Macaca mulatta: one gene and its partners. The main gene of each other region encodes a partner of the protein of the gene in region 3 in a complex. Links are inferred from orthologs where the notes say so. Each region holds a gene or a part of one and is shown on either strand. Other genes may lie near its edges. The genes, in order: GID4, ARMC8 and RANBP9.

Region 1 (7,442 bases), on a different chromosome or scaffold from region 3:
GCTAATGCCTCGGAGGTGATAGAGAAGCTAAACGTCTTGTCTAGGTGACAGACAACTGGTAAATAGCAGAGACAAGACTTCTAGTCTTGACTTCATCAGGCAGTCGCATTCAGCGAGATATGCTGAATAGATAGGTTTCTCCAGAATACCTCCCACTCTGGGAGTCAACAGACCTCTGATAAGCTGGTGCAGAACTAAACTGCCACAACAACCTCACAGAGGTCTTCTTGTTGCAACATCTCCTTCTCCAACACCTCAGTGACCCTTTCCTAAACTCCTCCTCTCCCTCTGATAACCTTCAATGGCATGGCCATTCCTAAGTGGCCAAGTTCAATCAGCTTGCTGACTGAAGTGTTCATTGAGAAGAACCCACTGGGGTTTAATCTTCTACTACTCCAAACACGCACAAGTATCTCACAACTGGTAATGTCTTTAAAGAGCACACATGGGCCTGATTTCTGCACCTCCCTCCTCATTCATTCATTCCTATTTTCTTTCACATTTGACTGCCTACCATGTGCCAGGTACTTCCAAGAGCCTAAACTAGTAAGTTTAGGTACTATCTACCATGTGCCAGGTAATTCCAAGAGCCTAACTAGTAAGTTTAGGCTTTTTAGAAAGGAAAAGAAGGCAGTAGATCAAGTGCCACCATTATGTAAAGTGAGCATCCACTAATCTAAATTAACCCTTCGTGGTCGGGCGTGGTGGCTCATGCCTATAATCCCAGCAGTTTGGGAGGCTGAGGCGGGCGGATCACCTGAGGTCAGGAGTTCATGACCAGTCTGGCCAACATGGTGAAACCCCATCTCTACTAAAAATACAAAATTAGCCTGGTGTGGTGGTAGACACCTGTAATCCCAGCTACTTGGGAGGCTGAGGCAGGAGACTTGCTTGAATCTGGGAGGCGGAGGTTGCAGTGAGTCAAGATTGTGCCATTGCACTCTAGCCTGGGTGACAAGTGCAAAATTCCATCTCAAAATAAATAAATAAATATATATATACACACACATTAAAAAATTAATTAATTAACCCTTTGCTTTTTGCCAACTTGGTGAACTCCCGAATGTGTCCCCTTTGCTATGCCTCCCCAGGATGCCCTTCCTTCCTCTTCTTTACTGGCCCTTCATGGCCCATTTCCAGGCCCTTCCCCTGAGTCCTACAGGTGAAACTTCAGCTCCCTGCTGCATCCAGCCCCCTTCCCCATTTCTATAAAGTTATAGAACTTGGACAGGTGCAGTGGCTCACGCCTGTAATCCCAGCACTTTGGGAGGCCGAGGCAGGCAGATCACAAGGTCAGGAGTTCGAGACCTGTCTGGCCAACATAAACCCCATCTCTACTAAAAATACAAAAATTAGCTGGGCCTGGTGGCAGATGCCTGTAGTACCAGCTACTCAGGAGGCTAAGACCAGAGAATCACTTGAACCTGGGAGGCGGAGGTTGCAGTGAGCCGAGATCGCGCCACTGCACTCCAGCCTCCACGACAGAGTGAGACTCTGTCTCAAAAAAAAAAAAAAAAAAGAAACAAAGAAAAAAAAAAAAGAACTCAATAGCCAGAAAGATCCTCAAAGACAACCTAGTACTTCAACTCATGCAGAAAAATTAGGAAGTAGTTGCATGCCCAAGATCACACAGACCTCAGAGGTTTTGCCAGTATCAGATCCTAGATTTGCACTCCTGCCACAATGCCAAACTGTCTGTGAAGTTCTCAAGTTTCTAAAGCAGGCAGTGTTAGGGAAAAGTCCCTCATATCTTGCTGTCACCCTGGACATGTTCTAGATACCCAACACTCTCCCACCTTCTTGCTGAACTCCTACTCATCTATCATGGCTCAGCTTAAATGCCCTTTCACCCAAGACCCATTCTAAACCCTGAACAGCCCCAAGACGGGAGCAGGTGATTCTCCGTGTTTTCACAGCTTCTTTGTATGTCCCTTATCAGGATATTATACCCTTTGCACTCAACAGTGAACATCATTCAGGTGGGTCTTTTTCTTCTTTAACTGAGCTTCTCTACCAATACATACAGGTGGGTCTTAAAGACTACCGTGTCTCCTGCCTCCAGCACTATAAAACTAATTGAATGGTGGGAGGGTGTTACTGCTTTTCATTCACTGAAATGAATCATTCTCACTCTTACCCTAACACCACTCACCATCAGCAATGAAAGAACCACTACGTCTGAGCTTCATCAGAGTTGGAGGTGGAGGTGACTCCACAGTCAAAGGTGGAGATGTCAATTTCTATTTAGCAGAGAAGGCTGCAGATGGCAGAGGTTGTGGTAGGAGGGAAAGTCAGGAAACCTGCAGCTGAAGTGCCCAGGATGGAGGAATGAAGGTCTAGGTTCTAGGTCCCTTCTGTGCAGGTATTGTGTTGGGCAGTGGAGACACGGAAAGCAGTCAGACACCTCAAATCTCTGAGACAGTCTGTCTGTAACCTAGGCGAAGTCCTGATTCAGAGCCCAAACTTCCCCTTTTGAAAACAAGGATGACACCTTATTTCCTAGGGAGGGCAGCCATAAGCTTTGAGAAAAGCTGCACAGGCCAAATATCAATTACTGTATCGTGCGTCACTCGCTGTTCCCTCTCGGGTCGTCTGCCCTTGTCTGGGCTTCACTTTCTCATCTGTAAAAAGACTTGACCGGCTTGCATAACCTCATGAGCCTGAACCCTGCCTCAGTCACCTCGCTTTGCATAGCCGAAGCCCGAAGCCCACCTTACCCCAGCTCGGCCCCTACCCAAAAGAGAACGTGTCATAGTCTTACCTGTCGGCGGGGCGTAAGCCCGGGCTGGAGACGGGATGGTTGGCCCCGGACTCATAGAAGCGCAGGGACCACCCGCAGGCCGATTCAGGAGACGGCGTCCCCCGTCCCGCAGCCGGAGGCAGCTCCTCCACATCGCGCCCGAGGGTCTGGGAAGATGCGCGACGCGAAACCTGGAGCAGGAAACACAGAGCGAAGGGACCCCCAAAACCGCACGTTCGGGCTGTACGGAAACCTCTCACCGCTTCCTCAAAGCCCTCAGCCTCCCTTGGACGCCGCCATCTTCCGCATGACACCAACGGCGCGCCGTCGCCTTCGCAAACCTCCTGCGCACACCCCCAGTCAATCAGCATCACAAACGCACCTCGCCCCGCCCCCTCCACGCCGCGCCTCGGCGAGGAGACTACAAGTCCCAGCGGGCCGCTCGCGCACCCCGCCACGTGTTTTCTCCTCCCGCCAATGGGCGGAAGCGCCGCGTGAGCCTGCTCCCGCCCCCGAGGCTCGCCCGAGCCAATCGGAAGGGGCGGGGTGTGTGTGTGCGTGTGTGAGTGTGTCTGTGAGTGTCTCTGTGTGTGTATGTGTGCGCGAGGGCAAGTCGGGAGGGGGACCCAGCTCAGGACTGGGAGGCCCTGCTCGCAGGTCCCTGGGTCCCGGTGGCGGCCAGAGCGCTTGGTCCGCAGGCAGCGGGCGGGTGGTCGCCCCTCCCGCCCCCACCCCGCGCGTGCGCGCCCCGGCCTCTCCCTCCCCGCCACCCTCCTCGGCTCCCGCGCGGCGGCGGCGGTTCCTCTCCCACTCCCCCCAGCCCTGGCTCCGGGGGACCCCGCGATGCCCGTCCGCACCGAGTGTCCCCCGCCGGCCGGTGCCTCGGCTGCCTCCGCGGCCTCACTCATCCCGCCGCCGCCCATCAACACCCAGCAGCCCGGCGTGGCCACCAGTCTGCTCTACAGCGGCTCCAAGTTCCGCGGCCACCAGAAGAGCAAGGGGAACTCGTACGACGTAGAGGTGGTGCTGCAGGTGAGCGCCGGGCCGGGCCGGGGCCCGAGGGCCTCCTCGCGGCGCTCACGGGCCGTGCCCGCCTCGGCTCCTCGAGCCCGCAGCCGCGGAACAGGCCCTCGCCGCCGGGGCCTCCTGCACCCGGCGCTTCCCACCCGGGACCTGCCCAGCCTGTGTCTCACACTCTCCGAGCCCCAGCCCTGACCTGCCCCTTCGGACCCGGAGCCCGTCGTGACCGGCTCCCGGCGGACCCCGAACACTCCCAGACTTGAAGCCCGTGACCGGCCCGTCTGGGATCCGGAAGCCCCTCATGACTAGGGAAAGGCCTGGGTCCTTCCTCCCCATGACCTGTCGTCCCTAGATCAGGGACTGCCACCAGCCCTTTTCAGACCCTGAAGCACTCTCCATTGGTTTCACCAGACTCGGGACCCTCCCCGTGTCTGGGCCCATGTCAGATTCTCTCAGACCTGAGACATGCCCTCCCGCCCCTTCCTCAGTCCCAGGAATCCGCAGACCCTGGGGTCTTCCTGCTCCTGAGATCTCCTTAGGAGGGCTTCATCAGACCCCCAGACGGGGGAGCGCCTAACCCACAACTGACTGGTCAGGCCCTGGCCCCACCTCAAGACCAGGCACTCACTCCCTGAGTGCCGCTCACAGTCTGCTGGGATGTTGCCTCCTGGGTCCCCTGTTCCACTCACTGCTTCTGTCTTTTCATGGTCCAGGCACCCAACTCCTTCCAGCTTCTCTACCCCCAGGCCTCCTGCCCCTGCTCTGGGACCACTTGCGGTCTTTTCCCAGTCTTCCTGGCCTCTATCCAGACTCCCCCATCCCATACCTTCGTCTTGCCTGATCCTGGTTCCAGGGGACCCTCTTTCCTATTCTTAACTGTTCTCAGCGGCACAGGGCTTCCTCTCAGTCTCTGGTACCCACGTACTGGGAAATCTAACTCACCCAATTTTAGTTCATGTCCAGTCGCTTCCCCCCATTTGACCTGGATTCCTAAATACCTGCTGCCAGTCCCTGATCAGCTTCGGAAGTACAGCTTCACCTGTCTGGGCCTTTCCCACACCTCACTCCTCTCAGGCTTGACACTTTCTGCCAGCTGAAATGGAGTAGCAGTGGTGAATACTCCTTTTTTTTTTTTTTTTTTTGAGACGGAGACTCGCTCTGTCGCCCAGGCTGGAGTGCAGTGGCCGGATCTCAGCTCACTGCAAGCTCCGCCTCCCGGGTTTACGCCATTCTCCTGCCTCAGCCTCCCGAGTAGCTGGGACTACAGGTGCCCACCACCTCGCCCAGCTAGTTTTTTGTATTTTTAGTAGAGATGGGGTTTCACCGTGTTAGCCAGGATGGTCTCGATCTCCTGACCTCGTGATCCGCCCGTCTTGGCCTCCCAAAGTGCTGGGATTACAGACTTGAGCCACCATGAATACTCCTTTTTATCTCCCTTCCCTACTAAACTCTTCCTCCTCTATACCTACCCCTGCCTGCCCGAGGACCCCTTTCCTTTGCCCTTTTTTCCTTAGTCTGACACCTCGTCTGCCAGGCTGTTCCCAGAAGCCCCTCCAAACACCTGTCCCTCTGAAAGGCACTGTGTGCTGCCCCACTGCCCCCCTCCCCGCCCCCCGGGTGTGAGGGTGGAATGTACCGTATATCTGTTCCTCAAGCTTTCCTTTTGGTCAGTTAAAACAAATCTTAGTTTCACTTCTGAAGAGTAGGTCTCCCATCCAAAAGACAATGAGGGTCCCTTTTCTGCTAACTGCAGAGCACTCATCACTCTTTTATTCTCATATTGCTTTGTGGGAATAAATCGTCTTCTCTGCTTACTTGAAACAGCATCATCATGTTAATCATATCTTTGGGCTGTAAAGTTCTATCATGAACCACGATATTTATTATAATGGAAAAACGATTGTGGCTGAAATATTTTTATCTTCATAACTGTATGCCTAATGCGGTGATCTTCTTCTCTTTTTCTTAAAATGTGAGAGTCGAGTATGAAGGTACTGGGGTTTTTTGGTTTGTTTTACACCTAATCATAGAATTTTGGAGGTGAGATCCCTGGGTGGGTCACGTTTGGAATGATCTTGGATTTGTCCCTGTTGCTCAGTTTGATGGTTTCTGATGTAGTAGGGGACAACTGGCAGGATAGCCAGGCATCAAAGAGGAGTCTGCTTTGGCTACTGCAGCAACTGCTGCTCCCTTCCATCATTAAGGTGTCACTTCTGAGCTCCTTTCAGAAGAATCATGAACCAGTGGAAGCTGTGGTTGAGTTGGGGCAGGGCTGACAGGTCTCAGGCAGCCCAGAGCAGAAACCTGGTGGATGACTGGGAGCCACTTGAGTAGGATGTCTGATGGTGGGGGTGGTGGTCATGCCAATGAATGCTGCCCTACATCTGGATTGGTGAGCTGCTTGGTCATCATCACGACTAGTCAGTGGCATGTGAATTGCCCCATCATCTGGTTTTTCAGCCAGGACTAGTTTGTCAGACACAGCCTTCTTAGACTTACTTCTGCCTTTTATAACTCAGCTTCTTTTTGTTTCTTCTCATTTTCTTTTCTTTCTTTTTGTATCTTTATTTAGATATAATTCACTTATTTAAAGTGTACAATTCAGTAGTTTTTAGTATATTCACAGTTGTTTAACCACCACCACAACCTAATTTTAGAATATTTTTGTCACCCCAAAAGGAAACCTTGTAACCCTTAGCCATAACCCCCCTTCCAATGCTAGGCAACTGCTCATCTATTTTTGTTGTTGTTTGTCTATTCTGGACATTTCATGTAATCATACAGTATTTGTCCCTTTGAGAGTGGCTTCTTTCACTTAGCATAATGTCCTCGAGGTTCAGCCATATCGTAATATGTATCAGCACTTATATTGCATTGTTCATTGTAACAATTGTCCATTGAATGGATATACAATATTTTGTTTATCCAGTGATCAGTTGATAGACATTTGGGTTGTTTTCACTTCTGGCTACTATGAATAATACTACTATGTACATTTATGTACAAGTTTTTATGTGGAGTATATTTCATTTCTGTAGATAACTACCTGGGAGTGGAATTGCTGGGTCACATGGTAACTCTGTTTTAACATTTTGAGAAACTGCCCCTGCATTGTTTCACATTTCCACCAGCAGTGGGTGAGGGTTCCAGTTTCTCCGCATCCTCACCAACACTCACTGTTCATCTTTTTTATTGTAGCCGTCCTAGTGTTTTTGAAGTGGTCTCTCATTGTAGTCTTGATTTGAATTTCTATAATTACTGTGATGTTGTGCATCTTTTCATGTGTTTTTTGTGTTGTTGTTGTTGTTGTTGTTTTGGAGCATTTTCTTTTTTGTGATTCTAATTTAAAGAGTTCCTCAAAGCTTTGTGAGTTTCTGACTGGGTCTCCTCTCCACCCCCAACTTACTGTGACTTCTCTTTCCTCCTCTGCCATCTAAGAAGCCAGCAGTAGAAGGGAGGCCTGGTCGCTGTGAAAGGAATATTTAAAAGAGCAGCCGTTGGACACAGCTGTGCTGTGAGACCTTCTTGCTAAACATGTGCCCTGTTATCTTTCTTGAGATGCTCGCCTGCCATTTGGCAAAAGCTGTATGCATTGTGGTGTGTTTGAGTTCACCAACCATTATCAAGATCAATTTGGGCAGAAATAGAGAGACACTTGGTTGAATGGAGGCCAAGCTGAAAT
Region 2 (6,970 bases), on a different chromosome or scaffold from region 3:
TTGGTTCGTTGTCAATGCCTGATGTCCTGGTGGTAATGGAAAAAACAGTTGGCATAAAAGACATGGGTTGAGACTGGCTCTGTCATTTAATATTGGGTTCTGAAAAACCCCAATCCTGCATTGTAGCTTTCTCCTCTGTAAAATGGAGTTAATATTACTCAAGGTTATGATGAAGATGAAATTAAGTAGTGGATATGGAATGCTTTGTAAATTTGAAGGTAATATAGAAATCTGGGATAGTGTTGTGTTCCCATCTTGGACGATAGCTGTGAATTTGCATTTGACAAAAATAATGGATATCTAGAATCACTATAATTAATGATCTGCTGACAGTAACTTCTCCGATATTTCCAGGTGAGATTGGCTTTCTTGCCTCTGAAGAGGAGATAGACTTTTATCCTAACAAAGTGATGATTGTATTATGATAGAGGGCAACTAGGAGGGACACCTAACCCTGACCTGGGAGTTTCAGGGCATGCTTCCTGGAGGAAGTGACACTCAGACCTGAAGGATGAGTAAAGCTAGCCAGAGGAAAGTATGAGAGAGGGGATAAGGAGATGACAGAGAAAGAATAACTGCACTCTGGGAACTGAAAGAAGTTTCATCTAGATGGCTGAATGTTGTCATCTGAAATTGATTCCTTAATCCTGTTAATTAATCCTTTTGATTTTAATTCTTCATAGAAGTGATCTAGCATTCCTTTATAGCAACAATTGAATAGAATTTATTAACATCGTTTTTTCTTATCTAGCACAGGTATATTTACTTACTAAAACCAGAGCGAGAATCTTTTTCTTTAGACATTGTTCCATTTTATTGTGTTCTCTTTAGGTGACATTTCCTCTATTGCCATCAGTTACCTCCATGTCCTTTTTGTAAAACTATTAAGAGAATTAGAAAATTTGGGTTGGAGGGGTTTTTGTTTGCTCTTGTCTATAAAAACATGGCATGGTTTCAGATGTTGGGAATGGGTTCATTTGGTAATGTTAGGGACCCCTCATTTCTGCTTAATTAAGAAGAATGGAGAGGAAAAACTGTGGAAATATTAGGGTTGGGAGTTCTGGAATAGAAAGCACTCAGAATGGCACTTAGCCTACACAGACTCTAGATGGGCTGGACAAATGAATGTGCTGCATTAGTATAGGCAGAACACATTAAGAGAAAGGGAGATGATGAAAGTAAACAACAAGCTGGTAGGTTAAGGTCCATATGCTGATGATTATGAACTAAAGCCTCTAAAGAAAACAGGCCTCCATGAGGATGCAGGAGCTTAGAAATACAATCTCTTACTAACTTTAACTTTGCTAATTGAGCCTTTGATATCATATAGCTTTATATTCATGTGTCAGAACTTGCTAACAACCTCAGTAAACTTCATTCAGTTCAGTCCCATAAACAACAACAAAAAAATTGCTACTTATTTCTTGAAAACCATATAGAAGATCTGAGGGATACTTTACAGAGGGATAGGTCAGGCCTTGAAAAAAAGCCGTACCCTCAGGCACTGAGCTAATGGAAGAAAAACCAGGCATTCTCAGTGTTTGGCTCGACTTGTAAAAATGCCATTCAGAAACTTGTAGGGAAAATCTGCTTTTAACACATCACTAGTTGTTGCAGTATTTTTCTGCAATGATCAAAAAAGGCAATTGGAGACAAGGATTAATTGTTACCAGGTTCTTTAACGCCAGTAAATATGATTGGTGTTAGAAATATATGCTGACTCTAACATTTATTTGTTGATTTTTTTTTTTTTTTTTTTTGGAGATGGAGTCTCGGTCTGGCGCCCAGACTGGAGTGCAGTCTGATCTCTGCTCACTGTAACCTCCACCTCCCTGGCTGAAGTGATCCTCCCACCTTAGCCCCCCAAGTAGCTGGGACGACAAGTGCATGCCACCACAACTGGCTAATTTTTGTATTATTTGTAGAGATGGAGTTTCACCATGTTGTTCAGTCTGGTCTCAAACTCCTGAGTTCAAGCAATCTGCCTGCCTAGACCGCCCAAAGAGCTGGGATTACAGGCGTAAGTCAGCACGCCCAGCCGGGGAAGTATTTTTTTAAAGATTTTATTGGTAGTACTGGGTTTATTTTGAGCTATTTATTTTTTCTCTACATTTCCTTTTGAACCAACCACAAATTTGTGAGCCAATTGATCAGTGGTAGAGGTTCTCTTATTGTGGAATAGGGTTTTGCTCCTGGTGAAGTATAGTGCTCTGTGTAGCTAGAATAAAAAATACCTGAATATCTGAGAAATGTAAAAGATTTGTTGTTATTTTTTTAATCTCCTTAAGAGATAATTTTGCTTAAGCAAAAATAGTAACAATGTATTATGTTGTTTCTAAGCAATTTAAAAATATTATATAACAACAGCCCAAAAAATGAATGGGAAAATGGAAATACATACGTGAGGCTCTTAAAATACATATGCAATGGGCTAATATCACTTGAAGACTGACTGTGATAACTTAAAAGATGCATTGGAAAACAACAAAGGAATACAGTTAGTAAGACAATAAAGCAGATAAAATGAAATTATAAGAAATAAAGACATCAAGAAAAAAAAGAAAAAAGTGAACAACGTGTGATCCTTGAAACAAGGAGATAATGTTCTGTGGGCTGTTTTTTGTTGTTGTTGTTGTTGTTGTTTGTTTAACTCACTCCCTACTCCCAGAGCTGAGTGGGAAAGTGGCCTACATTCCTTTATATCCAAAGAATTGGTAGGTACCCTTTTTAAAAGAACTCAATTCTGTACTGGAAGTATTTTGCCGGTACTCAGGATATCTCTCACTTTCTACAATACTTGCCTGTTTTACAGCCCCCACGTTCACTCTGCACCTATCTCTATCCCTTCGTTAGTACTTTAGATGAAAAAAGGTTAGTGCTTTTACTTTGTCAAATCTGAGATATTGCATAATGAAGTAGAATGATCTTTGATTTTTTTCAGTGCTATCTCAACATACTTTATTTTTTTTTCCCCTTAATTCAGAGACATGAAAAATGCTGTAATTGGAAACAACAAGCAGAAAGCCAATCTCATTGTTTTAGGAGCTGTTCCAAGGTATATTTGCTGTCTCACCCCTTTCGTGCCATTCATACTAATTTCTAATGTATTTCTTACTTTCAATAATAGAACCCATTTTTTCCTGTATTGTCTATTTAATTCTTAAAATAAATCCTATTTTTAAAAATAAGCGTAAGTATTTACACCATCTCTAAGGAAAAAAATTATAAAGTAACAGAGAATGTAATAAGAAGTGAATGTGTTAATACTTGGAAGACCTTTGACCTGACGATAAAAGGGTTTGTTAGGTACATAGGCAATGTACAGCAGCTTAATACTTTCTTCTCCATTTCCTTAGAGCCTTGGCAGTTTTTTGTGTGAGTGGGTAATTTATTAGGAGTCTTAAGACCTTGTTGAAGTTAAAGGAAAAAAACCCTGCTTGATTTTTAATCCAGTTTCATTTTAACAATTTGCTGTTTTTTAAGTTAATGTAGGAAGTTTAGGAAGTTTAATTTCTTCTTTTGGTGACCTAATAAGCGTCCTTTAGGCAGGCAATGACAGTTATGTAACTTCCTCTTTACTTTTGCTCCTCAGAGCTAGTTTTCTGTGCAATTGCTGTTAGCTTTTCATTCAGAATTATTTATTATTTTGTTTTTTTTCCTCCTTATTTTCTGGTTTTGAAACAGAATTAATGGTTTAAATGTTTTAACTCACCACCCTCAAATGTATACTTTAGTAACTGTAAAGCTGTCAGCAGCCTTTCTTAGGGGATTTATGTTTGGTATATATAAATAGTACTTTATGGAGCATGAGGGTCCTATCTTAGAACATAAGGTAGATGGTTATAAGTGGAGACAGGTTAGGGTTTGGGGAGTATTTGTTTGGCAAGCTGGGCTGGAGTGGAAATGAGAGGATGTCTTCATTTTCCAAATGAGAAGTGGAGAAAGAAGAAATTTCCCTTGCTTGAGGAGCTGCACAAGGGCTCTGAATATTCCCTCTGGGCTCGATCTCTACAAACTCTGCACCACTGCTCTGGATTCAGAGCAGTATTGTTTGTAGTTTGAATTTAAGATCTGGCAGCACATGGCATTGAGAGTCTTCATATTTTGGAGACCCAACAGGAAGTGGTAGATGACGTGGACTCGATGATGCTGTTTCTACAGAGACCACTTGTAGACAACTTTCAGATTTACACTTTTTATAAACCCTGAGAATATGATAGTTCTTGTTTTCAAAACCTCTTCTAGATTTTTCCAGATGTTTCTTTAATTAGCAGATGAGATAAACAAATGACCATTCGATTCATATAAACTCAACCAACCGTATTTTTAGTATGTGGACCACACAGCCTTTTTTGGTCATATTGAGTCTTGTTTACATTTTTTAGTCTCTTTGTTTATTAATTTCCTTCTTTTTAGATTGTTGTACTTGCTTCAGCAAGAAACCTCAAGCACAGAGCTGAAAACTGAATGTGCAGTGGTGTTGGGAAGTCTTGCTATGGGTACTGAAAACAATGTCAAGTCTCTACTGGACTGCCATATTATCCCTGCCTTATTGCAAGGTACGTAGGGAAGCCATTTTTGCTCAAGTAAGGCTGAGAATCAGTTTGCAGTGCTTTAAATACTGGTTGAAAGGATTAGTCCTAAATCTAGTTTCTGTTAATAGGACTACTGTCCCCAGACCTGAAGTTTATTGAAGCTTGCCTCCGATGCCTGCGTACCATCTTCACCAGTCCTGTCACTCCAGAGGAGCTACTGTATACAGTGAGTTTTAGATGGATTTGAGACATTAGTTACATTTCACTAACAGCCTACTCCTAATTTGCTTAGCATCTTCAGACTTATCCTAACTGTGTTATGTAAAAAAGTCTCAGTTGGACATGGTGGCTCACACCTGTAATCCCAGTGCTTTGGGAGGCTGAGGTGGGAGGATTGCTTGAGGCCAGGAGTTCAAGACAAACCAGAATGACATAACAAGACTCCATCTCTCTCTCTCTTTTTTTTTTTGAGTTGGAGTCTTACTCTGTTGCCCAGGCCAGAGTGCAGTGGCACGATCTCGGCTCACTACAACCTCCACTCCCCCCCAGGTTTAAGCAATTCTCTGCCTCAGCCTCTGGAGTAGCTGGGATTACAAGTGTGTGCCACCATGCCTGGCTAATTTTTTGTATTTTTAGTAGAGATGGGGTTTCACCATCTTGGCCAGGCTGGTCTTGAACTCCTGACCTCGTGATCCACCCACCTCAGCCTCCCAAAGTGCTGGGATTACAGGTGTGATCCACCGTGCCTGGCAACAAGACTCCATCTCTACAAGAAAAAAATAAAAATAAATTAGCCTGGTGCAATGATGCATGCCTATAGTCCTAGCTACTCATGAGACTGCAGTGGAAGGATTGCGTGAGCCTAGGAGTTTGAGGTTATAGTAAGCTATGATGGTGCCCCTGCACCTCAGCCTAGGTGACAGAGTGAAATCCTGTCACTAAAAATAAAAAATGATAAAAGTCTCAGCTGGGTATGGTGGCTCACGCCTGTAATCCTAGCAGTTTAGGAGTTCAAGGTGGATATATTACCTGAGGCCAGGAGTTCGAGACCAGCCTGGCCAACATGGTGAAACTCCCATTTCTATTAAAACTGCAAAAATTAACCAGGCATGGTGGCACATGCCTGCAATGCCAGCTACTGGGGAGGCTGAGCCATGAAAATCACTTGAACCCAGGAGGAGACGTTGCAGTGATCTGAGATCACACCACCCTACTCCAGCCTGGGCGACAGGGCAGACTCTGTCTCTAAATAAGTACATGAATAAAGTTCTTGCTTATTTCCAAATATCAGATGCTCTCAGCTTTGCAAGAAAGTGAAAGACGGTCTCAGACTTTGAGGAATTTACAAGCTATTTTTAAAAAGACCCATTTTTATCTCTCTGTATGTAGAACTTAAGAGAAGTTTATTTTACGCTAGATGAATGATAGGGAGTTCAGCTGACTTTCAGTTGAAATCCAGCAGAGTAGGCTTTGCAGAGAAGCTAAAATTTAATCTGGGTTTTGAATAATGGATAAGACTTAGAGAAGTGGAGAGGAAGGCATGAGACCCTGTGCTTGGCCCAAATTCTTTTCTTCTGGCTTTTTTTTTTTTTTTGGAGATGGAGTCTCTCTCGCCCAGGGTGGAGTGCAGTGGAGGAATCTTGGCCCTGCAACCTCTGCCTCCTGAGTTCAAGTGATTCTCCTGCCTCAGCCTCTGAAAGTACTGGGATTACAGGCGTGTGAGCCACTGCGCCCGGCCTCTTCTAGCTATTTTTCAATATACAATAGATTATTGTAAATTACAGTCACTTTACATGGGGCTTTCTTACTGATAATTAGGCCAATATTTTTTTTTTTTTTTTTTTGAGACGGAGTCTCGCTCTGTCACCCAGGCTGGAGTGCAGTGGCCGGATCTCAGCTCACTGCAAGCTACGCCTCCCGGGTTTACGCCATTCTCCTGCCTCAGCCTCCCGAGTAGCTGGGACTACAGGCGCCTGCCACCTCGCCCGGCTAGTTTTTTGTATTTTTTTTAGTAGAGACAGGGTTTCACCGTGTTAGCCAGGATGGTCTCGATCTCCTGACCTCGTGATCCGCCCGTCTCGGCCTCCCAAAGTGCTGGGATTACAGGCTTGAGCCACCGCGCCCGGCCCCTAGGCCAATATTTTTAAACACTCTTATTCACAGTTCACAGCAAGAAGCATATTTTCCCCTGCCTCACTATACATGTCAATTTGTATATGTGTGTGTATATGTGTGCATGTATGTATGTGTATGTGAAAGAATCCTAAGACAAGTTTCATGACATATTTCCACAGATGTAATGCCTTCTGGTTTCTATGCCATCATTTTTCATTCTTTAAAAAAATGGTGGTTGTGATTATCTGAGCTAACACAACGAATCATATTGTCAGATTATACACACAGGAGTCAGAGATCTTATCCAGAATCAGGCTTTA
Region 3 (6,238 bases):
CCTTGATGTCAAATTCTATTTGCATTTATATTAGCCAGATTCAACTACGTACCCTCACCCAATAAAAAGGGTGGGTGAGGAAGAGAAAAGCAATTTAAAAGGTGAGGCTTAGCCAGGGGTGAGCATGAAGTGCGAAACTCTAATTCGATGTTCCTGTTTGGTTGCCATTCCTATGAGCAACTCACTGTAGAGTGTATGATTCTAGTATTTATATACTGAACAAATACTTTTTGTATGAATTGTGTAACTGCACATATTGTGCATTTCTATATAAATGTGGTATGGTCGATTGTTTACATAAAACAAATTTGAGTTTTGGGCAGTTCTCATCAAAGGTAATTTGCGTAAAGAGTGAGTTTTTATTTGACTTTGAGTCTTAATTCCCAGGTAATTGGGACTCCAGTCTAGTTTAGAAGTCTGTGCTGTGCTGTTTGGCCCTGCAAGGTTCAGAAACTTTTAGTCACATATTTCAAATTATTTTAGGAAGATGAGGGCAGTGCCACAAAAAGTAGATGAAAGAGTAGTTTAGATAAGGAGACTTGCAAACGAGGGCCAGGACTCTTATGGCAAGAATGTAAAGGAAGCAAGGAAAAGCATTCATATTTGAGCCTCAGTCTGTTTCTTTGCCCTTAGAAAATTTATTGATTTGTTAAGGATCAGTACTGAAGTTTGGGAATAGGAGTAGTGTCCTTAGTGCTGTAGTTCTCTGAAATTTAGGATTTGTATATAAATGTGAATTTTCTTTGGTTAATGTGTTATATTTTCATTGGTTCTACAAAATTCATTTAGCTCCATTGATAAAAGTAACTTAGTAATAATGCTGGAATTGTACAGAAAATTATGGTTTACTATAATTGTCTTTTCGAAGTTACCATATTGTAGGTAATCATTAAGACCTAATTATTAGATGATACTAATCTTGGAAAGAATTTGAGAAAAAGTGACCCGTTTTCTTTAAGTTTAATTTCTTGAGTTCTTCAAGGGAATTTAATTGAGCACCATTATCTATAGACACATGTACTCTGACATATTGTTCTATATTATGTAGAATCAGCTATAAATAGTGCTTAATCTTATTAATATAAATGCATGTGATTCCTATAAAATTAATGACACAATTATTAAATTGCTATAGATGGGTATGTATGTTTATAAATACCATGCTATTTATGTAGGGCTATCTGTATATAGTGTTATGAAAATTTCATATATCCAAAAAAGTTAAAGATGTATCACCAAATGCTTCCTTTGACCAAAATAAAATTTTAAAAATACTCCCTGTAGATGCTTGCCTTTGAGCACGGTCTTCCCTGTAAACCCTCAAGACACCATACTTTCTCACCAGTCTACATGCCTTTTTTGCACACTTTTATTCTTAATCCTGTTTTTGTTTTGTTTTCTAAGTCCTGAATTTGCTTATTTTTGATATTATGCTTTTTCCCTTTTGCAAATTTCCTCTTCTTTCTCCCACCATCAATTTGCATCCTCTGAACCAAGAGTGGAGTTAAACCATATGGAGCCTTCCTAGCCATGTGTCACTGTTTTTGCCCTTTGTTGTCAACTGTGCCTATAAAGAACTGATCAGTAGTTTTATTGATTAGTTGGACATTGCCTTCTCATAAAGAGAAACTACCAGCTTCTGAGTCTGGCTACTTTTACCATTAGTTCATGGTTTTTCATCTCTGGCAAGGAACAAATTTTGGTAATTATTGCATTTGTACTACAAATGTCTGACAAAGGACCCTGAAAACTTATTGGCATTTTTTAAAAATGTCTGAACTGTCCATTGTAAATTAGCACCTCCAAAACTGCAGGGTGGCTCTACTGTATGTTCTCTCACTGTCACCACCAACACCTACTCCCCACCAGCCCAAATAACATTACCTATATATGCCTTGGAGATGGCTAGGCAGCCTCAGTTTGGTCCCATCCACAGAGGTGGAAGAACCCATCAGTGGAAACTCATAATGAAAACCTGTTGCCTTTTTAGTTTTAGTATCAGCTGACTTTGATCAACCAGAAGGGAAATAATTCCTTACTCTCCACTCCAAATATCAAATAAAAAGTTGTACCTTTCCAAAACATCATAGTTAATATGGAAATCAGTTTTTTAGTATCTGATACTTTAAAAATCTGATTCTGCAAGAGTTTATCTTATCGCTGGATAGACAATACCCATACTACCTTGTCAGAATAGTATGTCCAAGGCATCTTTTGCTTAGGAACCTTCATTTGCTGATATTTCAGAGTGGTATGGGAGTGGTAGTTTTTAAAGTCATGCAGTATTCTCCTGATTGAAATGTTTTTTAAAATGTCTTGCTAATTGCTGTTTTCATTTTTAAATTATTTTTCTTCAGAAACCCACAATCTGCCAAAGCAACCTCCACTTGCCCTAGCAATGGGACAGGCCACACAATGTCTAGGACTGATGGCTCGATCAGGAATTGGATCCTGCGCATTTGCCACAGTGGAAGACTACCTACATTAGCTATGCATTTCAAGAGCTCACACTTATATTGTGGCATATAGTCAACATGGAAGTAGACCAGCTCTGCTGATTTGAAATTTAGATTTTTTAAATTATGTACTGGGGACAGGTTTTTGTCGCTTTACATTGCTTCCTAGTTTACAGCATGATGCAAATGATTTTCTAACTTAGTGTTAGGAGAAATTATTTTCCATCTTTAACCTCTTAGTTGTCTAAGAGTTAAATATTACTGAATTTCAGACGTTCAAATTGATCATCACAAATCCTTTAAAACAATTACCTAAAAGAAACCAAAAATCCTGCCTTCTTTGTGGGGGAGGGGGGAGAGAGGGGAAGGAAATGGAACAAGTTGTGTTTGTGTTAGCATGTGGGTGATGTAAACTTCAAATTGGGAGATGTTCCGACCCCCACTCCCATATAAGCATTCAATCAGTGTAACTTGCAAAATGCATAAACATCCGACAGTTTGAATTTATAGTGTTGATGGAAGAAATCATTTTTAATGTGTACTGTAAAACTTGAAATACTCAGGAGCTGAGTGAATATGTTTGTTGCTACTTACAATCCCAACCTGTTAGTCCCAGTAGTTTTGTTTTAACATGGTCTTTTTCAACTTTGTTTCCTGTTTAACTACAGATGACTTCTGTTGTAGACTCACAAGTTTAACTGTTGTATTATAACAGTATTACATGTCAACGGTGTGGTTATGACCTTTATTTATATAAAAACCAAATATTTAGTCAATTTACCGTGTCTTAATTTAATCTTTGTACACCTTCCATTTTTAAGTGCTTAAATGAGTACTATATTGCAATAAAATGTAGTGATATAATTAACCAGCCATTAAAAATTTACTTCTACAGATACAGTGTCAATTGAGTTTATATATTAGGTACTTGCATACTTTTTATGATTAATATGAAAATTAGAGCAATTAAAATTAATGGTTTCTACAATTAATCTGAGTTCTACAACCTAAAACTGCCTTCAGTTTACTGGCATCCCTGGATTAGGGTTAAACCTGATATTATGGGTGACACAGAAAGGCAACAGGAAATTAAATTCATTTTTTTCATATTCATAATATGGCATATGAGACTCACCAGGCAACCCCAGACTGGTTAAAAGTAAAAATTTAAACGCTGTTAGTTAGCTATATTTTGTCCACTGAATCTTTAACAGCAAATTGTCTAAGGGCTGCAGTTGGAGACTTTTCTGGAATGTCCATTTCTCCTTTTTGTCCGTGCCATTTTTGCCACCCCTCCCACCCCCCAGTCGGGGAGAGTAGACGAGGTGCTATTGCTGGTATGAGTATGGCTTGAATTCAGTTAAATACATTAAAAAGAAAATTCCTTCTTAAACCACTTTTTCCTCTAGGATTGCAAGGCACAATTCTACTCCAGAAGAATGAAATGTGGTTGAGTAATTCCTCAAATAGGTTTATGATTTTTATAATGATCCTTTAAAATTATCTACCAATAATTTATTAGATAAATTCTATACATACAAAGTACAGATTCTTCATTTAGCATTGATTTACTTCTTAGTTTTCATCTTTCTGACCATCCACCGTCTTTTAAACCTCTTGGCATTTTGTTTTTTCTGGATTCCTAGAATAGAAAGTTGTGCAGTAAGAGTATTAGAGAAACATAATTCAAAATTTTTATAATTCTCTACATGAATGTAATTACTAAAACTGGGTGGGCTTATTATACATTAGATGTATATACATACTACATTGACCTGTTTTTCACAAGTTATATAAGCCATTATAAGGGGCATATAATTATGAACTATCTCCTTCAAAAGAACATGATTCAACATATAAAGCTATTAAAAGACAGGAGAATAAAGCTGGATCTTACCCCAAGCATTATTCAAAAACTGGACAGCAGCCTTTTTCACTGGTGACCTCTTGTTGGCAAGAGACAGGAACTTATTTACTAGAAATGAAAGGTATTTATCATTTCATAGTTTTATTTGCAGTAAAAAGTGAGGAAAATAGTCCATAAAAAAATTACCAGTAGTCCTGTTGGTTCCTGGCCCATATAATGAATTATGTATGAAGGCTTGTGCCGCTTGTTGCCTTGAATCTCTCAGATCTTGGTCTTTTAGCCTGACGGCCAAGTAGCTTTTATTCTGGCTGTTCATCAATATAAAAGGTTAAAAAAGAATTAATACATGCTTGCTTTCTCTCCCCCCCACCCCCGCCCGAGACAGAGTCTCACTCTGTCACTCAGACTGCACGATCTCAGCTCATTGCAACCTCTGCCTCCCAGGTTCAAGCAACTTGCCTGCCTCAGCCTCCCAAAGTGCTGGGATTACGGGCATGGGCCACTGCACCCGGCCTACATGCTTGCTTTAATATATTTTTATCATTTGTCTCACTGTGATAAATGAAACTAATTTTGTATATGCACAGATAGAATAAAACTAAATTACAGGACTACAAGAAACAGACTAACACTCATATTTTAGTAGAGCACACCAGCACGCCCAGTTACTTTTTTTATTTTGTGTAGAGACTGGGCTTTACCATGTTGCCCAGGCTGGTCTTGAAATCCTGGACTCAAGCAATCCACCTGCTTCAGCCTCCCAAAGTGCTGGGATTACAAGTGTGAGCCACCGTGCCCAGCCCAAAACTGATTTTTCCACAGAGAATCCAATCTGAAATTACTACTAATTAAAATATTTCCCATGTTAGCCAATACTTTAACTCTCTTAGAGGTCTCCTTTATATCCCAAATAAAACAAAAGATTCATTACCTGACAGACTGTACTTTTTGTACTTTAACTTTTTTGGAGTCATTTCCTTTTTCACAGTCTTCATTTTTCTTTTGCAAATTAACTAAAAAATGGAGTTACATTTGCTAATTAGCATTCATGTAAAAATAAATCAGGAAATTTACTGGAGTTCACTTTAAGCATCCACTACACACCCATGTGGATGCAGTTTTTATTTGTATGAAATACAGGGAATAGGCCCCAGCTAACCTTGGCCAGGCCCGTGGCTTTCTAAGGGCCATTCATATTTGACTGGAAACATCTGCAAGTGCACTTGACACTTACGTGAAAAGTTATTTAAATTAGAATAGTCATACCTTCTTTGACCTTTCCTGGCGATTTCTTGACACTAAGGGAAAAAAACAAAACCACTGACTGGAATGGCAGATAGCAAAGGTTACTCAAAATATGTTATATTATTTCATCTGACTTTACAAGCAAGACACTCCCTTTCATTACCAACACCCTCAATTTCTACTCAGGAGCTCTCAGTTTGGAAAGCAACAGTCACTCCCCAGTACACTGCCACCAACTCTCAATCATTGGAAGATCTTCACAATGTAAATCTGAAAGCCTATTAGCAGGCTTCCAAAGCAGCAAAATGCTATGGGCAATGGAGTTCAAGTGAAACACTTAATAACAAGTTATATAGTATTTGAAATATGAAGTGAATGGTAGTAGGCCTGCCTCATTTCATTTGGAGAAATCACAAAGGATTAATTTAATAGTGTAGGCACAGGAGACAGTGAACAATGGAGAGAGAAATGTAAATGGACAGAATACAATACACAAGCATTTGCACAGGAGAAAGGCCACACAAAAGCGGAAGTGATGGGAGGCGGGCGGGCCAATTGAAAAGGTAAAGATGACACTTGAGCTTGGTTTTAAAAGATGAAAGGGAATTTGCCACCAAATAGATTTGCTCTTATGTTTAATGTATTCAGGATCTGAGTAACTCTTGGTAGT

What was found.
Region 1: the proteins of RANBP9 (region 3) and GID4 are in contact, whole or in part, in a cryo-EM structure (PDB 7NSC), measured with the Homo sapiens proteins. The link is inferred for Macaca mulatta from reciprocal best matches to the Homo sapiens genes RANBP9 and GID4. Residues at the interface, in NP_005484.2 of Homo sapiens: Ser223, Lys224, Gly225, Arg226, Asp227, Gly228, Tyr229, Met230, Gly256, Asp257, Thr274, Phe275, Thr276, Thr277; in NP_076957.3 of Homo sapiens: Leu187, Arg189, Asp194, Glu195, Asn216, Asp218.
Region 2: the proteins of RANBP9 (region 3) and ARMC8 are in contact, whole or in part, in a cryo-EM structure (PDB 7NSC), measured with the Homo sapiens proteins. The link is inferred for Macaca mulatta from reciprocal best matches to the Homo sapiens genes RANBP9 and ARMC8. Residues at the interface, in NP_005484.2 of Homo sapiens: Tyr271, Gly298, His299, Ser300, Leu301, Gly302, Ile303, Asp337, Asp340, Tyr341, Arg343, Glu344, Thr347; in NP_001350870.1 of Homo sapiens: Gln245, Arg246, Asp247, Val277, Leu278, Lys279, Ile317, Ile320, Thr321, Asp322, His323.

The regions. Positions count from the first base shown.
Region 1 is NC_133421.1:19,604,896-19,612,337, forward strand, and holds the start of GID4 (glucose-induced degradation protein 4 homolog), read left to right. Parts: upstream 1-3,172; 5' UTR 3,173-3,334; coding exon 3,335-3,772; intron 3,773-7,442. Other genes in the region: ATPAF2 (ATP synthase mitochondrial F1 complex assembly factor 2), read right to left, coding at 2,762-2,894.
Region 2 is NC_133407.1:41,217,692-41,224,661, forward strand, and holds part of ARMC8 (armadillo repeat-containing protein 8), read left to right. Parts: intron 1-2,983; coding exon 2,984-3,055; intron 3,056-4,416; coding exon 4,417-4,559; intron 4,560-4,663; coding exon 4,664-4,761; intron 4,762-6,970. UniProt on the Homo sapiens protein: Component of the CTLH E3 ubiquitin-protein ligase complex that selectively accepts ubiquitin from UBE2H and mediates ubiquitination and subsequent proteasomal degradation of the transcription factor HBP1.
Region 3 is NC_133409.1:169,495,232-169,501,469, forward strand, and holds the end of RANBP9 (ran-binding protein 9), read left to right. Parts: intron 1-2,357; coding exon 2,358-2,488; 3' UTR 2,489-3,350; downstream 3,351-6,238. Other genes in the region: NOL7 (nucleolar protein 7), read right to left, coding at 4,025-4,098, 4,354-4,431, 4,510-4,631, 5,255-5,336, 5,590-5,621. UniProt on the Homo sapiens protein: May act as scaffolding protein, and as adapter protein to couple membrane receptors to intracellular signaling pathways. Acts as a mediator of cell spreading and actin cytoskeleton rearrangement.